Oryctolagus cuniculus: one gene and its partner. The main gene of each other region encodes a partner of the protein of the gene in region 2 in a complex. Links are inferred from orthologs where the notes say so. Each region holds a gene or a part of one and is shown on either strand. Other genes may lie near its edges.

Evidence for each region.
Region 1: PPIL2 (region 2) and ARMC7 share a complex: the UniProt entries of both Homo sapiens proteins name them as parts of the minor spliceosome. The link is inferred for Oryctolagus cuniculus from reciprocal best matches to the Homo sapiens genes PPIL2 and ARMC7.

What each region holds. Positions count from the first base shown.
Region 1 is NC_091448.1:5,403,501-5,410,758, reverse strand, and holds the start of ARMC7 (armadillo repeat-containing protein 7), read left to right. Parts: upstream 1-3,028; 5' UTR 3,029-3,224; coding exon 3,225-3,315; intron 3,316-3,801; coding exon 3,802-3,945; intron 3,946-5,309; coding exon of another isoform or gene 5,310-5,338; exon of another isoform or gene 5,339-6,626; intron 6,627-7,258. UniProt on the Homo sapiens protein: As a component of the minor spliceosome, involved in the splicing of U12-type introns in pre-mRNAs.
Region 2 is NC_091452.1:29,125,852-29,133,109, forward strand, and holds the start of PPIL2 (RING-type E3 ubiquitin-protein ligase PPIL2), read right to left. Parts: upstream 3,763-7,258; 5' UTR 3,577-3,762; coding exon 3,545-3,576; intron 1,840-3,544; coding exon 1,790-1,839; intron 78-1,789; coding exon 32-77; intron 1-31. Other genes in the region: uncharacterized protein, read right to left, coding at 6,700-6,874. UniProt on the Homo sapiens protein: Has a ubiquitin-protein ligase activity acting as an E3 ubiquitin protein ligase or as an ubiquitin-ubiquitin ligase promoting elongation of ubiquitin chains on substrates.

The DNA.
Region 1 (7,258 bases), on a different chromosome or scaffold from region 2:
CAGCAAGCTGGGGCCGAGCCCTGCTCAGGACTGTCCCAGACGTTCAGTTCAGCTGGCTGCCTTGCTGCTCCTACAACTCGACACACTGGACTTTCACCTCCAACCGGGATACCACGGACATCATCCCTCTTTGTGCTTCTTGGGCTTCTGGACAATTCGGAAGAGTTCACCCTGCTCCCGGGGCCCGCCCTACTCCCTCTTCCCAAGGGACCCAGGAGTCAGTCCCTTAGGAAGGCCAACACTGAGGGTGGGGCTGCCCCAGCCAGGGTTGCTGGAGCCCGTGAGAGGTGCTGAGTCGGCCCCAGGTGCAGGATGGGGACAGTTCACAGGTCCAGTGAGTGCCTTGCCTGGCCCTGTGCAGAGAGCAGGAGGGGAGCCCCTGGCTGGGGTCCCGGGAGTGAGGGGCTCCCCAAGAGTCTTAGAGTCTCAGCAGGACCTGACTCGGGGCCCCCCACCCTCAGTGGGGAAGAAGACTCTGGGGTGGAGAAGCCGGACACTGTCCAGGGGAGGGGAAGTCTTGCTGGGCAGCTTGAGGACCACTGTGAAGACAGGGCTGCTTCTCCAACAGACTCCCGCCCCCTCCGCCCCTCCGCCCCTCCGCCCCTGCTGTGTCAGAGGGGTGAACCCCAGGCTGAGCAGCTGGCTGGGCCAGCTGCCTGGCCACCCCTGCTCCCTGCACTGTGCCCTGGAGGGCAGAGCCCTCCCCGCCACAAACACGTTGCTGGCGCCCTTCCCTGAGGTCGCCACCCCCCTGAGCGCCGGCTGCCGTCAGCCCAGGCTTGTCCCAGCAGGGAGCCGGGGGAATGGGAAAACACAGTGTGTTTGAATTGCACACACGACCATTCCCTGCAGCCAGTCATCAACTCCGAGCTAATACAGCTGGAAGGCAGGCCTGGCGTGAGAGCCCCCTCCTCTTTCTCCCAACCTGGCAGGGGCTGCCCGGGCTCAGGCCCTTGTTTGTTGACTCAGGCTCAACCAGGCTCCAGCAAGAAAATGTTATCAGGAGGATTGATTTTATTTTCATGACCCAGCCTCAGCCTGCCTCCATCACGTGTGCTCTAGCGTGAATAAGCATCCTTGGGAATGGTCCGCGAGCCAACTCCAGGACTCTGCCATGAGTGCCCCCTAATGGCCAAAGGAGGCAGTGCAGAGGCAAAGCCAAAGACGGCTGGGATAGAGGTGGGATTTCACTTTTGTGCCAAGATACGCTGTGTGACTTCAGGCAAACGGTCACCATCTCTGGGCCTTGGAAAGGGAAGGAGTTAACCTGGAGAGTTAAGCCTCTTCCAGTCTGGAGAGTCTGGATTTGAGTGTATTGAAGCCACACCTTCGGGCTCCCCGTTCATTCCTGTGCTTGGCCACAGGCATAGCTTGTGCTCTCAACAAGACCGCTTGGACACATCTCCCCAGGGTCTCTGCACCTGGACTGGTGGGAAGGGAGCGAGCAGGGGCGGCAGGCAGGTGCATTTGGTGCTGGTGTGCACCAGGCTTTGATGAGGTGTGCAGCCCTGTGCCACTTCCACAAAACAGGGGAGTGAGCACTCAGCACAGAAAGCGAGACGCTCGCCTGCCCCCAGGAAGGATTGGCAATAACCCCCAGGCAGAACCCCTCCCACACACACTTACGAAGCACCACCGTGCGCCAGGCACTGGGCAGAGAGGGGCAGCAAGTTCTGCACAAAACCAAGGATTGGGAGTTCTCCAAGCAGGCCCTGAGGCCTTAGGAAGGGATAAGACCAGACACTGGGGGAGGCTGGGTTGCCCATCGGGCACCAAAACCTGCGGGTGTTTTCCTGGGAAAGCAGTTCCTGGCCAGAGAAGGGAGGAGCTCACCTCCGTGTGCCCTCAAGCCCCAGGCTCCTGGTCCCCAGGCCTTCGCTGCTCTGTCCAGCAACAGGCGGGAAGTCCCCTGGCTAAGACACACTTTCCCAGGCCATCCAGGATCCCCACAGAGTCAAAGGACAAAGGGCAGCTATGGTACCCAAGCACCAAGGCCAAGGTCAGAATGGCGCTGTGGCACAACTGGTTAAATCCACGGCCTATAGTGTCGGCATCCCATGTGGGTGCCGGTTCGTGTCCCAGCTCCTCCACTTCCAACCCAGCTCCCTGCTAATGTGCCTGGGAAAGCAGAGGAAGATGGCCCAAGTCCCTAGGCCCCTGCACCCACACGGGAGACCCAGAAGAAACTCCTGGCTCCTGGCTTCGGATCGGCACAGCTCCGGCCGTTGCGGCCATCTGGGGAGTGAACCAGCAGATGGAAGACCTCTCTCTCTCTCTGTCTCTACCTCTCTCTCTAACTCTGTCTTTCAAATAAATAAAATAAACCTTTAAAGAAGAAGAAGGTGTGCATAGGGCAGGGCTGCAGCCTGCGTCCACCGCAGCTGTACTTGGCCCAGGGATGCAGCCACATTCCTTGGCCCCAGGAGCTCACAGCTCCAAGCACCATGGGGATGTGGCAAGGCCTCCTTTCCTGGTGCTGTTCTCTCCTGAGAAGCTCCGAGGAGTCAGACCAAAGGGCTTCAGGATCCCGGGCCCAACAACGCAGAAAGCTGCAGCGGTCCACAGGGGCGAGCTGAGGCTCCTTCCAGGGCCCTCCGGTGCTGCCCGGGACAACCCAGCTGTCAGAGGCTTAGGGCAGGACCCCAGTCCTCGGGACTTCGGGTCAGAGGTGGAGGGCCCCAATGGGGTCAGAGCGGAGTCGGCCGGACTTGAAATCCTGAAGGGTCGCAGGGAGCCGACGCTGAGGCTCCAGGGGGACGTCTAGGGGAGAAGGCTGGGCTGCGACCGCCAGCGGGTGTGGGGAGTGTGCGTCTGCCTCGACAGCCCCCTATGTGGGCACCCCCAGATTCTGCGGCACTCCTGGGTCGCCCCGGCTCCTCGCCGCATACCCGACCGCGCACCTGTCTGCCGCGCGCGTCCCCGCGGGCCCGGAGCTCATTGCGCACGCGAGCCGAAGAGCTCCGTGACGGCCCCGCCCCTTCTCGCCTCGCCCCGCCCCGTCTCTCCCCGCCCCGCCCCTTCCGCCCTCCGGGGGCGGGACTAGCGCGGCTTCCGGCCGGGACTCTGACAGGATCCTGAGGGTCCCGCCTCCCACTTGCCGTTTCGAGCTGCGGATTCTCGCAGGACCTGAGCCCCCCGGCCGCTGCGGTGAGGGTCTCACGCGGCTGTCCAGGCTGCCTTCTGCCCTTGTCCCACCGGGCCCAGGAGCGCTCGGCCGCCCCGCCATGGCCCAGAAGCCCAAGGTGGACCCCCACGTCGGGCGGCTGGGATACCTGCAGGCGCTCGTCACGGAATTCCAGGAGACCGCGAGCAAAGGTGAGAGCCGCGGGTGGGCGCCGCCGCGAGCCGAGGGGAGAGCCGAGGGGAGGGCGCGGGTGGGCGCCGCGAGCCGAGGGGAGAGCCGCGGGTGGGCGCCGAGGGGAGAGCCGCGGGTGGGCGCCGCCGCGAGCCGAGGGGAGAGCCGAGGGGAGGCCGCGGGTGGGCGCCGCCGCGAGCCGAGGGGAGAGCTGAGGGGAGGGCCGCGAGCCGAGGGGAGGGCCGCGGGTGGGCGCCGAGGGGAGAGCCGAGGGGAGGCCGCGGGTGGGCGCCGAGAGCCGAGGGGAGGGCCGCGGGTGGGCGCCGAGAGCCGAGGGGAGGCCGCGGGTGGGCCGGCGCGAGCCGAGGGGAGGGTCGCGGGTGGGCGCCGGCGCGGGGGCCGAGGGGAGGGCCGCGGGTGGGCGCCGCGAGCCGAGGGGAGGCCGCGGGTGGGCCGGCGCGGGGCCGCCGCCCGGGACCGGCTCCAGGGTCGCTTTCCCGTTGCAGACGCCAAGGAGCAGGTCCTCGCCAACCTGGCCAACTTCGCCTATGACCCCAGCAACTTCCAGTACCTGCGGCAGCTTCAGGTCCCGGATTTGTTCCTGGACTCGCTGTCGGAGGAGAACGAGACCCTGGTGGAGTTCGCTATGGGTAAGGGGGGCCGGACCCGACACCTGCGGGGCTGCCGCGCGATGGGAGGGTTGCAAGGGAGTCGTCGGCAAAGCGGCCTTTAGGGGCCCCCCTTGTCGCCCCACAGGCCATCAGGTCACAGCTAATGTGCGGGAGTGCGGGGGTCCCACCCAGGCCCCACCCTCTGCCTAGAGATGGGATCGCAGACAGGGAATGGGAGGGAGCAGCTTGGAGGTGGATCTTTAATGCGACGATAATGTAGACTTTAAAGTCTTTGTCGTTTACTGAAAGGCAGAGAGAGAGAGATTGAGAGATTGCACCCACTGGTTCGCTCTGCAAATGGCCACAACTTCTCCCAGGTCTAGGCCAGGCCAGGCCAGGGCCAGGATCCGGGACCTTCATCCCTCAGGTCCCCACAGGGGCAACAAGGGCCCAGCACTGCCTTCCCGGCTGGATCAGAAGCAGAGCAGCTGGGACTTGAGGCAGGACTCCCGCCAGTTGGCCCACTGCGCCCTCATCCCTGTCCTCGTGCAGAAATGTTTGAAGTCCATACATAGGTTTTTTTGTGAGACTTTTTCATGAACTTGTAATTAATTAATTAATTTGAGAGGCAGAGAGACAGACAGAGCTTCCATCTGCTGTTTTACTCCTCAAATGACAGAAATAGTCAGGGCTGGTCCAGGCCAAAGCTGGGGGCCAGGAATTCTATCCAGGTCCCCCCCCATGAGTGTCACGGATCCGACTACTTGAACCCCTCATACAGTGCCTGCCCAGTGAATACAAGGATATTTCAGCAAGTTAATGGGAAGTGGAGTTAAAATATAAGGGTGTTTTTGGTGCAATTAAAAAAATTAAATTTTTTTCATAATGCACATATTCTATGAATTTTTAAAAATATTTCCCCCCACTCTACTGTACTCTTCTCTTCCTTCCTTCTTTCCTTTTTTTCTTTTCTTTTTTTTTAAGATTTATTTTATTTATTTGAAAGAGTTAGAGAGGTCTTCCATCCGCTGGCTCACTCCCCAAATGACCGCAGCAGCCAGAGCTGAGCTGATCCAAAGCCAGGAGTTTCTTCCAGGTCTCCCACATGGGTGCAGGGGCCCAAGGACCTGGGCCATCTTCTATTGCTTTCCCAGGCCACAGCAAGGAGTTGGATCAGAAGTGAAGCAGCCAGGACTTGAACTGGCGCCCATATGGGGTGCTGGAGCTGCAGGCCAGGGCTTTAACCTGCTGCACCACAGCGCCAGCCCCTTTTTTAAAAAAAAAAAAAATTTACTTATTTGGGGGACCAGTGCTGTGGCACAGTGGGTTAAAGCCCTGGCCTGAAGCGCCAGCATCCCATATGGGTGTTGATTCTAGTCCTGGCTGTTCCACTTCCAATCCAGCTCTCTGCTATGGCCTGGGAAAGCAGTAGAAAACGGCCCCCCTGCACCCACGTGGGAAACCCAGAAGAAGCTCCTGGCTTCAGATCGGTGCAGCTCCAGCCATTGCGGCCATCTGGGGAGTGAACCAGCAGACGGAAGACCTCTCTCTCTGTCTCTACCTCTCTGTGTAACTCTGTCTTTCAAATAAATAAAATAAATCTTAAAAAATAAGTTTATTTATTTGAGGCCAGCACTGTGGTGTAGTATGCTAAGTCTCTGCCTGCAGCGTCAGCATCTCTTACGGGCACCGGTTTGAGTCCTGGCTGCTCCTCTTCTGACCCAGCTCCCTGCTAATGCTCCTGGAAAGAAAGCAGCAGAGGAGCGCCCAAGTGCTTGGGCCCCTGCACCCATGTGGGAGACCCAGAAGAAGTTCCTGGCTCCTGGCTCCTGATTGGCCCAATTCCAGCTATTGCGGCCATTTGGGGAGTGAACCAGCAGATGGAAGATATCGCTCTCTCTCTCTCTCTCTCTCTGTAACTCTGCCCTTCAAATAAATAAATAAATAATCTTAAAAAATATTTATTTATTTATTTGAATGGCAGAGTTATATAGAGAGGGAACAAAAGAGACAGAAAACAAGCTAGATATTCCATTGGCTGATTCACTCCTCGGATGCTGCGATAGCTGGAGCTGGGCTGATCTGAAGGCCAGGAATTTCTTCTGGGTCTCTCACATGGATGCAGGGGCCCAAGCACTTGGGCCGTCCCCTGCTGTTTTTCCAGGAGCATTAGCAGGGAGCTGGGTCAGAAGTGGAGCCGCTGGGATATGAACCTACGCCATTGTGCTGGGCCTTACAAAAATTCATATATTTATATATTTTTCATAATATACATATTCCATACATTTTTTGAGGATCCCCCTCACTTTTTAAAAGATATTTATTTATTTGAAAGGCAGAGTTGGCCGGCGCCGCGGCTCACTAGGCTAATCCTCCGCCTAGCGGCGCCGGCACACCGGGTTCTAGTCCCGGTTGGGGCGCCGGATTCTGTCCCGGTTGCCCCTCTTCCAGGCCAGCCCTCTGCTGTGGCCAGGGAGTGCAGTGGAGGATGGCCCAGGTGCTTGGGCCCTGCACCCCATGGGAGACCAGGAAAAGCACCTGGCTCCTGGCTCCTGCCATCGGATCAGCGCGGTGCGCCGGCCGCTGCGCGCCAGCCGCGGCGGCCATTGGAGGGTGAATCAACGGCAAAAGGAAGACCTTTCTCTCTGTCTCTCTCTCTCTCTCACTGTCCACTCTGCCTGTCAAAAAATAAAAAAAATAAAATAAAATAAAATAAAAAAAATGAAAGGCAGAGTTACAGAGAGAGAGGGAGAGATACAGAGATCTTCCATCCATTGGTTCACTCCCCAAATGGCCACAACAGCCGGGGCTGGGCCAGGCCGAAGCCGGGAACCAGGAGCTTCATCAGAGTCTCCCACATGGGGACAGGGGCCCAGGAACTTGGGTCATCTTCAGCTGTTTCCCTAGGCACATTAGCAGGGAGCGTGATCAGAAATGGAGCAGTAGGGACTTGAACGCACACCCATGTGGGATGCCGACATGGCAGGGTGCTGCTACACCACAACACCGGCTCCGCCCCCTCACTCTTTAAGCCAGGTTCTGTTCTGAATGTTGGGGAGATGTTGAGCAACGGGTTCTGCCTACAGGAGCTTACATTCTAGAAGGGGAGACGTGGGGAGCACATTAAAATGATGCTGCTCGGGGGGAAGTCAACAGGAGGGGGACAACTTCCGTGTTGGCCATGATGGGCAGGCACACTCGGCAGAGGTGCAGAAGCCGTGAAGGAGCAGAGGGAAAGCAGGCGCGGCAGGACGGCGGGGAGAGACCTGGAAAATGGCGCCAAACGAGGCTGCTGGCAGCGGAGCTGGCCAGGGCTTACATCTGACCGTGGGGATGAGTTTGGCATTTATTA
Region 2 (7,258 bases):
CAAGGGAAAGGCAAACCTTCAAAACCCTTACCTGCAGTGGTCGAAGGGTAAACGGCGGAAATTTGACTGGGGGAGATCTGTTTTGTGGGGAACAAAAGGGGAACACCGGCTGTGTCAAATAGCTCCACTCCGTGTACCTGCCCACAAGCACCGCTGTCTTATGGGAAAAGGAGTGCTCAAGTACTTAGCACCGCCACTGCCGTGGGCACCAAACACAGGGAGGGCGTGGACAGAGGAGGAGCTGGAGAGAGCGTGAAAATTACAACAGGGGCCGGAGCTATGGCGTGGTAGGTTAAGCCGCTGCCTACAGTGCCAGCATCCCATGTGGGCGCCAGTTCAAGTCCTGGCTGCTCCATTTTTTTTTTTTTTTAAAGATTTATTTATTTATTTGAAAGTCAGAATTACACAGGGAGAGGAGAGGCAGAGAGAGAGGTCTTCTGTGCCAATCCAAAGCCAGGAGCCAGGAGCGTCTTCTGGGTCTCCCATGTGGGTGCAGGGGCCCAAGGATCTGGGCCATCTTCTACTGTTTTCCCAGGCCATGGCAGAGAGCTGGACTGGAAGAGGAGCAGCCAGGTCTTGAACCGGCGCCTGTATGGGATGCCAGCACTTCAGGCCAGGGTGTTAACCCATTGCGCCACAGCACCGGTCCTGGCTGCTCTACTTCTGATCCAGCTCTCTGCTGTGGCCTGCGAAAGCACCAGAAGATGACCCAAGTGCATGGGCCCCTGCACCAGTGTCAGAGACCCAGATGAAGCTCCTGGCTTCGGATCAGCCATTGTGGCCATTTGGGGAGTGGGTCAGTGGATGGAAGATCTGTCTGTCTCTCCCTCTGTCTGTAACTCTGACTCTCAAATAAATAATTAAATCTTTTTTTTTTTTTTCTTTTTGACAGGCAGAGTGGACGGTGAGAGAGAGAGACAGAGAGAAAGGTCTTCCTTTTCCATTGGTTCACCCCACAGTGGCCTCTGCAGCCAGTGTGCTGCGGCTGGCGCACGGCGCTGATCCGAAGCCAGGAGCCAGGTGCTTCTCCTGGTCTCCCATGCAGGTGCAGGGCCCAAGCACTTGGGCCACAGCAGAGAGCTGGACTGGAAGAGGAGCAACCGGGACAGAATCCGGAGCCCCGACTGGGACTAGAACCTGGTGTGCTGGCGCTGCAGGTGGAGGATTAGCCTAGTGAGCCGCGGCGCCGGCCAATAACTAGATCTTAAAAAAAAAAAAGAGGGCCAGCACTGTAGTGTAGGGGGTAAAGCTGCCGCCTCCAGTGCCGGCATCCCTTATGGGTGCCAGTTCAAGTCCTGGCTGCTCTTTTGATCCAGCTCTCTGCTATGGCCTAGGAAAGCAGTAGAAGATGGCCCAAACCCTTGGGCCCTTGCACCCACGTGGGAGACCTGGAGGAAGCTCCTGGCTCCTGGCTTCAGATCAGTCCAGCTCCAGCTGTTGCGGCCAATTGGGGAGTGAACCAGCAGATGGAAGACCTCTCTCTCTCTCTCTCTGCCTCTCTCTTTGCCTCTCCTTCTCTCTCTGGTAACTCTGACTTTGAAATAAAAAAAAAAAGAAAAAGAAAAAGAAAAAATGTAGACCAGGGTTCTTTTCACCACAGCCTGGAGCACTTTGGTTATTTTAAGCCATATTTTTAAAAAAATCGCCAGTGGGTGGGGCATCTTTCCTCTTCCGTGAATGGAGTCCTCGGCCCAGCTGTCCTGCACAGACCACGGGCTGCCTGTATAATGGGGCCACCCATCCTCTGTACACCCCTGTCCTCGGGGCAGAGAAGACTCCCATGCCTTACCTGGCTTCTTGCCACCATAGAAGTGAGTGTATTCAGCACAGGTGATGTACCTGAGAGGGGGAGGGGGAGGGGACGGGGAGAGGGAGGGAGAGATATCACTACGCTGCCACTGGCCAGCCAGGGGTGAACACGGCAGACACGGGGCTGCACAAACCCATAAATAAATAAACACAGACGGCCCTGCGCTGCTCAGAAGGAAAGGAGGTGATTCACCCAGGAAGACCTGACACATGAGAGCGGCCGGCACGGGCAGACCTGGGGGAAGAGCCCTCCAGGCAGACACACGGGCGGGGCCCGCAGCCACAGCGGGTACCGATGCCCAAGGCAGGAAGAACAGACAGATGTCGCTGGGGAGCTGCGGGCACCGGCGGGTGGCAGCGGAGGAAGACGGATGGGGAGGGGCCTCGCAGGTCTTCCTCAGTGGGTGGGAGACCACGGAGGGTTCGGAGCCAGGGCCCTGCTAGGCAGGATCTGACATCAGCCGCAAAGCCTCGCCCTGGCTGCTGTGCGTAGGAAGACAGCCAGAGCAGCAGCAGAAAATCCACCAGGAATTGACCACTTCCTCCGGGTCTCCCACGTGGGTGCAGGGGCCCAAGGACTTGGGCCATCTTCTACTGCTTTCCCAGGCCACAACAGAGAGCTGGATGAGAAGAGGAGCAGCCAGGACTCGAACCAGTGCCCATCTGGGATGCCGGCACTGCAGGTGGCAGCTTTACCCACTACGCCACAGCACTGGCCCCCAGCACACATTGCTTTCACACCACGGTAAGGTCGGAAAACCCTGTCTGTGGTGGGCGCTGTGGTGCGGTGAGTGAGGCTGCCACCCGCATACCGTACCAGAGCGCCTGGAATCAGACCCCGCCCCTCTGCTTCTGACCAGCTCCCTGCCAAGGCACCTGGGGGGCGGCAGAGGATGGCTCAAGTCACTTGGGGTCCCTACTACCCACGTGGGAGACCTGCATGGAGTTCCTGGCCCAGCCCTGGCTGTGGGGCACTTGGGGGACTGGACCAGTGCATGGTAGATCTTTCTTTCTCTCCCTGTGTCATTCCGCATTTCACATCAATACAAATATCTTTAAAAAAAAATTTTTTTTAATTCTCAGCCTATCACTGAGACAGGAAGGAGAGAGGCAAACTCCAGGGCTGGGTTCTATTTCCGATGATCAGATTAAAATGCGGTCTGTATCAGACCGCCGAAGCGGAGATGCCGGGCTGAACAGACTGCTTCAAGACCCCCGCCACAGACAGTAACCTGTGAGGCCTGGGAGAAACGGGAGGAGGGGGCCCGGCCGACGAACCCGAGAAAAGGGGAGGCCGCTGAAGTTTGCGGGAAAACCACGCACGCGAGATCGCAGAGGTCAACGCCACGGGCTTGAGAAATGACTGGATGACCCCAAGCTCGGCAACAAGGACTCAAGGCGGGGGACAGGGGCTGTGAAAGCCTGGCCCCAGCGGACTCGAGAGACAGCAGCAGACCGGGGCTCGTCACTCGGAAAAGGCGAAGAAACGCGACGGCGGCCGGGGCTCGCTCGCTTCCAACCCCGGGGGGCCCGAGACGCGGCTGCCGGATCCCCGGGCTACCGCAGGGGCTGGGGGCAGCGGTGTCACTGCCCGGCCTGGGGAGTGGGCAGGGGGCTTCCGGGAGGAGTCCTGGGGACTCGACTCTGCGAGGGAAGAGGAGCGACGCGAAGCCCCGGCCAAGCGCGGGGCCGGGCGCGCAGCGGCGAGCCGCTCCCCCGACGCGGTTCCACGTACATCTTGTCTTTCTGGTGCTGGCGTTTCCCCATGGCGGCGAGCGCGGCGGTGGGGTCTTCGAGCGCGGAAAAGTCACGGCCAGCAACCGCGAGCCCACAGACGCCGCCGAGTAGTCGGGCAGCTACTTCCGGGATCCGCGGGCCCACGCCGGAAGCGGGCGCTTGGCATGCCGGGAACTGTCGGGTTTCCCTGCCGCCGAGTGCGCATGCTCCAACGGGGTCTGGGCGCGGTGTGGTACCTGAGACCCTGGACTGAGGGAGGCCGCGCTAGCTTGAGCCCCCTCTTTCTTGGCGGAGCTGTTCTCTCCTCGCACCGCCCCATTTAGCTGCCTGCTCGCTCGTATCCCATTCCCAGAGTGCATTGTGTCCGACAGCCTCCACGCCCCTCGGCAGCCCAGCGACAGGTGGCCATGGACCGTCGCTTGGTCCCTTCTGTCTCTTCTTGAGCCACTTTGGGTCCAACGCTGGGGCCCCGGGTGACCCTGGCCAGCAGCACTTGCGTCTCGGGACTCGCCAAGCTGAGGTGCCGGCGCTGTGGACTCTCAAACCACTGATCTCGGATTTAACACGCCTGCTGAGAAAGCAGAATTCTTGTCCCGCTGCCTCCTTACTCTCCTGTCTCCTGAACGGACTGCCAGCCACCGGGTCACCCAAATTTTGTAACTGAAGGCCTAGGATTGAGGCAGAACCGGGAGGAGGGGCAGACCAATCTCAACTGCTGAGCTTGCTTTTCAAAGAATGTTCCAGCACTGCCCTGGGAGGGGCCAGACCCTCAGCCTAAGAGGAATCCCATAGTTTGAGTCAGATCTCCATGACCTTACCTGAGCTTCATTCTCATACCGAATCCTCTGCCCATGGGAGGGGTTCGCAGTCATTACGGAAGATGCGAGGCGTGAAAGATGTATGGTACCTACACGTCTGGGCAGGAGGGCCCCCCACTGCCATTTTGCAATATGCTGGACACTCCTGGCTGCACCTGCTCCAAGTTCTTGTCTCCACTCGGTGAAGTAATTGGAGGAACACCCTAAGGGCGTACGGGAAAGCAGGATTTAGGTACTCAGATGGCGAAGAGGCAACCTCTCTTCATGAGAAGGAAGGGTACTGCCCCCGCAAAGCTGGGGTCGCCCCTTTCAGGATATGGGATGATGCCCTAATTAAGCATTTTTTTTTTTTGACAGGCAGAGTGTACAGTGAGAGAGACAGAAAGAAAAGTCTTCCTTTTGCCGCTGGTTCACCCTCCAATGGCCACCACGACCAGCGCGCTGCGGCCGGCGCACCACACTGATCCGATGGCAGGAGCCAGGTACTTATCCTGGTCTCCCATGGGGTGCAGGGCCCAAGCACCTGGGCCATCCTCCACTGCACTCCCTGGCCACAGCAGAGAGCTGGCCTGGAAGAGGAGCAACCGGGACAGAATCCGGCGCCCTGACTGGGACTAGAACCCGGTGTGCCGGCGCCACAAGGCGGAGGATTAGCCTAGTGAGCCGCAGTGCCGGCCCTAATTGAACATTTTTAAAATTTATTTTACTTGAAAGGCAGAGTTACACAGAGAGAAATATCTTCCATTCTCTGGTTCACTCCCCAAATGGCCACAATGGCCAGAGCTGGACCAGACCGAATCTAAGAACCAGGAGCTTCTTCTGGGTCTCCCACATGGGTGCAGGGGCCCAAGCACATGGGTCATCTGCTGCTTTCCCAGACACATCAGCAGGGAGCCGGGTGGGAAGTTGAGCAGTCGGGACTTGAACTGGTGGCCATATGAGATGTCGGCGCTGCCGAGGTGGCTTACCCAGCAATGGCACAACACCGGCCCCCTTGTTGAATATTTAAATGGGGCAGATTTTTGGGAGGGCCTTGAATACCGCTTGCTTCTGTATCCCACCCTGTCTGTTTGTTTTGTGGCATTTCCACCTGTGGCTACAGCATACTGGCGGTCATCACCGCATCCAGTGCGCCATGGCAGGTGAGGCTGAGGGGCCTGATGGGGAGTGGGCGAGCCGGGTCCGCATGGAAGGGGGCGGGGCTTTGCAGTGCTGCTGGTAGTCTCTCGGCTCCTCTTGGCCTCCTAGCTGCTTCCCAGGCTGCCTACCTCACAGGGCTCTCTTTCCGCCACCCACGTGGGAGGCCTGGGTCGTGTGCCCAGCTCCTGGCTCCCGCTCCAGTCCTGGCATCTGGGTAGTGAACCAGCAGATGGGTTCTCTCTCTTTCTCTCTCTCATAAAGAAAAAAATAATTTCAAAAAATGAAAGCAGGGATCTATCTCCACGACTTGGTTTGTTATCTCTAGTCTCAAGCACAGAGGAGAGCAAACACCAGGGCTCGGCAATCAGCTACTAACGCCTAGTAGTCATCCCTGTTTAGGAAGGACGCCCAGCTGTCATACAGGGGGATTCACTGTGTGGGGCCGGCGCCGTGGCTCACTTGGTTAATCCTCCACCTGCGGCGGCCGGCATCCCATATGGGCCCCGGGTTCTGTCCCGGTTGCTCCTCTTCCAGTCCAGCTCTCTGCTGTGGCCTGGGAAGGCAGTGGAGGATGGCCCAAGTGCTTGGGCCCTGCTCCCGCATGGGAGACCAGGAGAAGCACTTGGCTCCTGGCTTCGGATCAGCGCAGCGCCAGCCGTAGTGGCCATTTGGGGAGTGAACCAGTGGAAAGAAGACCTTTCTCTCTGTCTCTCTCACCGTCTATTCTATAACTCTGTCAAATAAAAAAAAAAATCAGTGTGTGAGTTGACATGACAGTAAGAGTCACAGACCTTTGAAATTCCTTAGGGAACTGCTGCGTTGGAACCCAACAGGCCAGATCACTTTGATTGACAGCAGATCCGGGTGCAGTTCCTGGCTCCTAACTTTGGTCTGGCACCATGGCCGCTGGCTATTGCGGCCATCTGGAAGAAATCAATCTCTTTCTCTCTAACTCTGCCTTTCAAATAAATACACAAATCTTTAAACACACACACACACAGATGCCTCAGTTACCAGGTTACAGAGCAAGTGAGTGCACTGAGACTGAGGCTTGCACCACCCTGCCTGCCTCTTGGGGGCTTCAGGGAGCCAGTGCGATTGCATGACCCTCAGGGGAGCCCAGCACCAGCAAGGCATCTCCACAGGAAGTTTATTCAGGCCTCCACCGTGATCACTGTGCTGTGGCGGGGAGAGGTCACGGGTTCTGCTTGTGGGGCGCGGGCTCTGCATTGCCAGGGTCCTGCTCTGAGTCGTCTTTGGATCTGGACACGGGCTGGAACTTGAGTAGGACAGGCGGGGTGAAGATGGAGGCCTTCACAGCGGAGGACGCCGTCTCCTCACTGCTGGGGGAGCTGCTGCACGCCTGGGCCCTGTAAGGGGAGACGCAGAGACACACCCGTGAGCTGGGACATGCGCACACAGAACCACTGTAGGTACATGTGACCAAACTCTAGGCTTAGGGGAACTTGCGATGCTTTTTGGTTATTAATGTATGTACTTGACCTTCTTGGAGTTGTATTATTTTTTCCCCCTATCTAAATTTATTTAGTTTGAGAGAGCATGAGTGAGCCAGGGCTGGGCCAAGTGGAAGCCAGGAGCAGGGGATTCAATCCGGGTCTCCAGTGTGGATGGCAGGGAACCTGAGCCATTGCCTGCTGTCTGCCCAGGAAGCTGGAATGGAGAACAGAGCTGGGACTGAAACCCAGGGATTCTGACATGGGGTATAGGCAAACGTAAGTGGCCTCTTAACCACT